Linked DNA regions of Xenopus tropicalis. The main gene of each other region encodes a partner of the protein of the gene in region 2 in a complex. Links are inferred from orthologs where the notes say so. Each region holds a gene or a part of one and is shown on either strand. Other genes may lie near its edges.

What was found.
Region 1: the proteins of rab11fip2 (region 2) and rab25 are in contact, whole or in part, in a crystal structure (PDB 3TSO), measured with the Homo sapiens proteins. The link is inferred for Xenopus tropicalis from reciprocal best matches to the Homo sapiens genes RAB11FIP2 and RAB25. Residues at the interface, in NP_055719.1 of Homo sapiens: Arg475, Glu478, Ile481, Asp482, Asn483, Leu485, Val486, Met489, Pro493, Ser494, Leu496, Arg497, Val498, Pro499; in NP_065120.2 of Homo sapiens: Arg34, Ile45, Gly46, Val47, Glu48, Phe49, Ser50, Thr51, Lys62, Trp66, Arg73, Arg75, Ala76, Ile77, Ala80, Tyr81.

Annotation. Positions count from the first base shown.
Region 1 is NC_030684.2:133,284,558-133,288,213, reverse strand, and holds part of rab25 (ras-related protein Rab-25), read right to left. Parts: intron 1,818-3,656; coding exon 1,622-1,817; intron 1-1,621. UniProt on the Homo sapiens protein: The small GTPases Rab are key regulators of intracellular membrane trafficking, from the formation of transport vesicles to their fusion with membranes.
Region 2 is NC_030683.2:5,848,066-5,851,490, forward strand, and holds the end of rab11fip2 (rab11 family-interacting protein 2), read right to left. Parts: intron 1,158-3,425; coding exon 930-1,157; 3' UTR 630-929; downstream 1-629. UniProt on the Homo sapiens protein: A Rab11 effector binding preferentially phosphatidylinositol 3,4,5-trisphosphate (PtdInsP3) and phosphatidic acid (PA) and acting in the regulation of the transport of vesicles from the endosomal recycling compartment (ERC) to the plasma membrane.

The sequences.
Region 1 (3,656 bases), on a different chromosome or scaffold from region 2:
AGCTATGATTTATATTAGATGCCTCATTGGCCTCGCTTATATCTGCAATGATTGATAGCTGCCATGATTGATAGCTGATGTTTATCTTACGGCCCACGCCCATATTGAACACTCCTTACAACTGCCAATGGACCGTAAGCTTAGGTTGAAAGGAAAGTCAGTTTGCGTAACGGAGGCCTAATATTTCCTGAGGCGTGGCCGCTGAATAAAGACTGTGGAAGGGTAAGGCCACATTCCACTCATAACTGACCTCAATTGTTTTATATAAACACAGCCAACCCCAAGCAAACTCTCTTCTTACAGTCAGTTTAATGATCTTTCAGGTGATCCATAAGGACAAAAGGAAGATGAACACCACATTCTGATGGTAACCAGGCCACTCACCTACGCTCCCATGGCCAGAACATAATGTACCAACAGGAATGCCATTCAGTGGGGCTAGAGATTTGGAGAACTTATTTGCTGTCCAAGATATTCTTAGAACTATGGATATGGATATTCTAGGAATATCTTGGACAGCAAATAAGTTCTCCAAATCTCCAGCCCCATTGAGTGATATTCCTCTTCCTGAGCTTCATCAGGTTCTAGCCAGGGAAGTGTAGGTGGGTGGGGATACAGGGTTCTGGCCTTCTTTGCTGTCTAAGATATTAGAAATATGGCTGACAATGTCTTATATATATATATATATATATATATATACTGTACTTAACCTAGTTTTGGGATAAAGGTTACAAATGAGCCGAAGGTTGCATCTCAAAGTAGGGCTTGAATCAAATCCAAAAACAATGCTTTAGGGACTACAAAGTGACAGGAGCATTCTTAAGGTGGCCATACAGGGGATGATTGTATCAGCCCATGTAGGGGCAGCAACGACTGGCATGCCCGACATCTGGCCTGAAATCGGGCCGATATCGATCGGGCAGGTTAAAAAATGTAGTCGGATTGGGGACCACATTGGCTCATTGGTGCAGTCCCCAAAGCGACTGTGCCCATTGCCGTCATTATAATTCAATCGTTTGGCCCCAGGGAGAAGATTCGGAAGATCTTAAAGTGTATGGCCACCTTTAGATCCCATTCAGTAGTCCAGAGCAATCATTCAGTGGCTAGGAATGTTAATACTGCTGAGGGCAGTGGGCAACCAACAATGTACTAAAGGTAGAACAGCTACAGAGGGTCCATTCGTTGCCGGGGTCCTGAAACCAATTAGTATTGCTCTTTATGGTACAGTGGACACCAAATGTTACAATGTAGGGGAAACTGCCCCACTCTGCCTTTTATCTCCATATAGGGTCAACATAGTCCATGAACTGGGCAACTTTCCATTACTGGGCCTTCTCATCCTCAAGGGGGATACTCCTGTGCTCCTGGCTCGCATCAGTTATCAAATATCTGGTTTAGGGTACTGGCCTAGAGTACATGGTGGCCATGAAACAGCATAACCCCCTTTACCCTGAGAACCTAGAAAGGGCAAGGGGACACCTTGTCACTTGCTCTATGGAGCACCCATTACTCTCCTATGTTCCTCCTTATATATGGTAACAGGCAGAGTTTGCACCACTTCAGTAACCTATGTGGTGAAGCCATGTAACCAGATGGAATATGTTCTCCCATATATACATACGCAGAGGTAATAGCTCTGTAGCGTTCCAAGCCAGCGGTGTCCCAGATCTGCGATTTCACCAGGTGCCCATCTATCGTTAGCGTGCGGGTGGAGAACTCCACTCCAATGGTGGTGCGGCTGTCGTGGTTGAACTCGTTCCTCGTAAACCTGGAGAGGAGGTTGGTTTTGCCCACCCCGGACTCTCCAATCAGAACCACTGTCAATCAGAACAGCAAAGAGGGTCAATGAGTTTCAAAATGGCACCTCCTGGGCCTCATCCTTCAGGTCACACTTGTGTCTTTTGGTCACGGTAATAAACACCCTAATTAGAGCTAGAGAGGTATCTTTTTAGGTAATGTAATAATGCAAACGGATCCAGGAATAATAGTAGATAGCACTCAGTGTCAGATAGCAGCTGTAAAGCTAACATGTATGGAACAGTCTCTATAAGAACATATCACATAAAGCAGCTCATATGTAAAACCCTGCTTCATCTATAAATAAACCATTTTGATAAAACTATACTTTTTAATTAGTATGTGCCATGGGGTAATCCTAAATAGGAAACTGCCATTTTAGGTACTAAGGGCCGCCCCCTGGGATCATAGGAGTCACAGTGCACACAAACAAGCCAAGGCACACATACATGCTAGGCCCCATCAGCCAATGAATGGACAGAGTTCTGCCTTTTGCTCCCACACTACTTCCTGTTACAGTTAGAGCTGCATCACTTCCTGTCAGCTGATCTCTGAGGGAGCACACAGCCCATCACTAAATGATTGCTCAAGGGAAAGGATGTAAATATATATATTTATATATATTATCAACATTATCAACATATTATCAACATATACAAATATTAAAAAGGGTCATATGAAAATGTATCTGGTACAGTGATGCATTAGGCATCATGAGATTGGAGGAAAGGAGATTTCACCATCAGCACAGGAAAGAGGGCAGTCAGGTTATGGAATTTCCTACCAACAGAGCCCAATAATGAGTGATTCACTGGGGTTTAAAATGCACAGTAAGGCTTTCTAGCATGGAGGTGGTGTATAATTAGCCAGCAGAATACAGGGTTGGGTTGTGTAATAAACCTTTTAGTTCTGGGTGCTGAGAGTCCCTTTATTGCACGGCTACATCATGTGATTAAATATGACAGCCAGTAATTCAGGTCGTAGGATACAGAATTAGCATTATGACTAGAATTATATGCTCGATCCTTGGGAGACACCCCAGGGATAATCCCAGTGATCACCTAACATGACGCCTCACTGGGGCGTGCACTGCCCCTTTAATCTAACTACAGACACTTTATCATCAGTTTTGAGTCAGTATCTTATTGGCTAGTGTATAGGGCCACAACTATGGGTTTTCTGGCCAACAGACCATCTGTTGCTTGGGAAGATCAGAAAGAACCCATGGGTCATTAGTGCTGCTCTTATCACTGCTAACACTGGTCAGGGCTGCTTTATGGTACCAGTAGGCCCTGGGCAACATGTAATTGGTGGGCCCCCATTGGCCCAGGAAATTGGTGATAGAATAACCCCCAAGCACCTACAGTTCAATATAGTAAGACAGGCAGTAAAGAAATAGACATGGTCCCTAGCTGAAGTAGACATGGTCCCTAGCTGAAGTAGACATGGTCCCTAGCTGAAGTAGGCATGGTCCCTAGCTGAAGTAGACATGGTCCCTAGCTGAAGTAGACATGGTCCCTAGCTGAAGTAGACATGGTCCCTAGCTGAAGTAGACATGGTCCCTAGCTGAAGTAGACATGGTCCCTAGCTGAAGTAGACATGGTCACTAGCTGATGTAGACATGGTCCCTAGCTGAAGTAGACATGGTCCCTAGCTGAAGCAGGCATGGTCCCTAGCTGAAGTAGACATGGTCCCTAGCTGAAGCAGGCATGGTCCCTAGCTGAAGTAGACATGGTCCCTAGCTGATGTAGACATGGTCCCTAGCTGAAGTAGACATGGTCCCTAGCTGAAGTAGACATGGTCCCTAGCTGATGTAGACATGGTCCCTAGCTGAAGTAGACATGGTCCCTAGCTGAAGT
Region 2 (3,425 bases):
AAGAGAGGGATCAATGCCAGGCTGTGGGCATAATGGCAAACACAGACCCGGTGCAGGAGGGTTTAGAAGTGTCGGTCAGAATGTTATTGCCGTGAAACAAGTATGTGAGGATTGGGATACCTTAGCTCCTATGAAACACAAGGTGTAGGTTCCTAATAGGTGAATTGTCCTGCTATAAAGGGGTTCAGAATCTCTGCCCCTCTTGGATAAAGAAAGCAGATCCATCATAGCACATCTCCATATAGTGTGAAGTTACTGTGTACTCCAACCACCCAGGGAATAGAAAAGTAACCCTGTTACCAGGCAGAAAGGGGCGTACTAGGTAAGAAGAACGAATGGGTAACTTCAAAAAACGTCACCATTCAATGGCTGACCCCAGAGGCAACCCCAGGAGAACAGCTTGCTGTGGTTCTTTAGAACACAGAACCAACACAACAGGGGAACTGACACCTCTGTATTGCCCGTAGGGCTCGTCTTGTGAGACTACAGCTCCGAGCATGGTCTAAGATGGATGATCCACAATATGTGGGCCAAGCATAATAAAAAGGTACTGTTTCCCTATTGCTAGCCAGCAGCCAGATTACGGAGACCCCCAACAGTTCACCATGGCAGAGGGGGTAAACGCAATATTTTTTTTTTTTTAAAAAGAGGGTTCTTACAGTCATCTGTACATTTTGTACTTAATAAAATTAAAATCAGATCTCACAAAAGAAATGGCACAGAACTTTGCCAATGCCACTATAACTCACGTTGTCTCGAAAGCACCATTTTCTTAAACTTCATTTCACCAAAGTATTTCAGAATATGACTTTGTTTTTAATCATTAAAACGCCTGGAGACCGTTAATTAGTCTATATAGGCAGGTCTCAGACTGGGCGAGCGACCAATCAGAGGCAGGAACGACAAGGTGGGCAGTAGGCAGGTACTTATTAGCTCTGAGGGAATTTGCCGGCTTTCTTGGAGGGTATGTAAGGCACACGCAGGATGCTGGGTGTCTCCTCCATTACCCGCACCAACAAGTCATCAATGTAATCCTCAAGTTCTCGAATGTGACCGTCCTTCCTCTTCAGAAGCTCCTTGTGCTTGGAAAGTTCCCGCTCCACCTCGTTGCGAGTGAGGTGACTGTAGAGCCCTGCGCCATCAAAGGGGCCCGAATCCTAAAAAGTACAAATCAGAGGGTGACGGTGGGGAAGTTTTTTGGTACAAACAGGTAGAAATAAAATGAACAGTTTTGTTTACCATCAGAGATAAATATCAATTAACAAGGAATGTGCTAATGTCTCTAGTTAGTGTTCTTTCAACATAACCTTAGTAGAAGACCTCTCTGCTTTTTCACACCCAGTACTTTTGGGCAATATGGGTGACCATAAAGGTGGTGGGAGAACAATGGATAAAGTGTCTATATGGACTGAGGGGACAGCAACAAAAATGTTCTAATTTTAAAAATGGGAGGTATCTAGTAGAAAATTTTCAACAGCAACTTACTGACTTCAATATAAGAGCCTTTTAGTAGCCTATATTTCTGTTATAGGCATACACCGAATCCAGCAGGATTTTTCAGCAGGATTCAGATTTGGCTAAATACAAGCGTCTAGACCAGGGGTCCTCAAACTTTTTAAGCAGGGGGCCAGTTCATGGTCCCTCAGATTGTTGAGGGGCCGGACTAAAGTCCTCCCCCAGTGTCCTCATACTATGGCCCGCTCCCCCCTGCATCCTCCCTCTCCCTCCTCTGGCTCCCCCCTGGTGTCCTCTCGATCCCTCCTTCGGTTCCCATCTGCGTCCTCTGGCTCCCCCCTTCCGTCCTCCCTCTGGCTCCCTTCTGTGTCCTCTGGCTCCCCCCTTGCGTCCTCCCTCTCCTTTCTCCAGCTCCCCCCTTGCACCCCTCCCCCGCTCCCCCTTGCACCCTCCCCCTCCCTCCTCCAGCTCCCCCCTTGCGCCCTCCCGCTCCCCCCTTGCATCCTCCCGCTCCCCCATTGCCTCCTCCCGCTCCCTCCTCCAGCTCCCCCCTGCGTCCTCCCGCTCCCTCCTCCAGCTCCCCCCTGCATCCTCCTGCTCCCCCCTTGCTTCCTCCCTCTCCTTCCTCCGGCTCCCCCCTTGCATCCTCCCTCTCCCTCCTCTGGCTCCATTCTGCGTCCTCTGGCTCCCCCCTTGCGTCCTTGCATCAGATCATAGTGGGGGGCTGGGTAAATTCCTTGGGGGGCCCGTATCCGGCCCGCTGGGTCTTAGTTTGAGGATGCCTGGTCTGGACAATCTGAATCCTTAAAATCACCTGACTTGGTTACATGAACAAAAAATTTGAAGCATGTGTTTCTATTTAACCCTTCCATAGCCTAATTTCCATAGGCAGATTCGGTTCAGTATTCGGCCAAATCTTTCACAAAGGCTTCGGTGTTCAGCAGAAAAATAATGGATTCTGCGCATCTGACATATCTAGCTTTATTCTGTACAGAACAGTGATTCTTAGGAACTCATCATTAATTATCTCTAATTCCCGAGTATATTCCTCGACCCTGGGCAGTAACGCAGCGCTACTCTGTGTATATTATTAACACTCTGGAGAATGCCATATATCAGCATGGCAGAGAGCACATAATTGCACACATTCTCCCCTTCATTAAATGGAGCTTCCTGCCCATTATCAGGTCCTAATGCTGTGTAATTGCATTGTTTGGGGAGTTCATTATCATTGGATGAAGCCCGCGGTATTGCAGAGAAAATATGCTCAAGTGTAGATTGTGTATAAATACCCCCATGGAGATTAGTAACAAAGACATCTCTTCTGGGTATTCGTTAATAAAAACAACTGGACAACTGGCCACTCCCACTTACGTATGACTGGCCCGTGACCCTGCCCACTATTACAGCAAACCCTGTAACCTTTTTGGAGCTTCGTCATTAGATAACTATAACTCTCATTAGCTAATGGCGAAGCTCAATATTAAATTCAAGTTTGTACACTGAAGAAGGAACATGGCGAAGCAACTCTGCAATTGGTCCTAATTGTTTAAAGTTACTTTCCCTTTTTATCTTTCCAAAATGAACCCTAAAACCCCCAATGGCTGCTCAGAGTAGTAACACCATAAACGGGTGCTCCCTGTTGTGGCAGATTGTGTCCATTTATTCTTACTGAAGGTGCTATACGCGTTGCGATCGCTATAGGGGGCGACAGGGGGGGGCTAAATGGCCTGTGGGACAGAGGTCCGGATCAATGAGCCAACGCAGTCCCTGATCCACTGGGAAAATCAAACCTGCCCAATTGAGATCTGGGTCCCCATACACGGGCCGATTGTAGCTGCCGATATGGGTCCCTTGGACCGATTCGGCAGCTTCTCAGCCCGTGTAGGGGCAGAAACGAGGGGCCTAGCCGACCAATATCTTTGGCCAGATATCGATTGGCCAGGTTGGACTGCCCCATTGCCGACGTT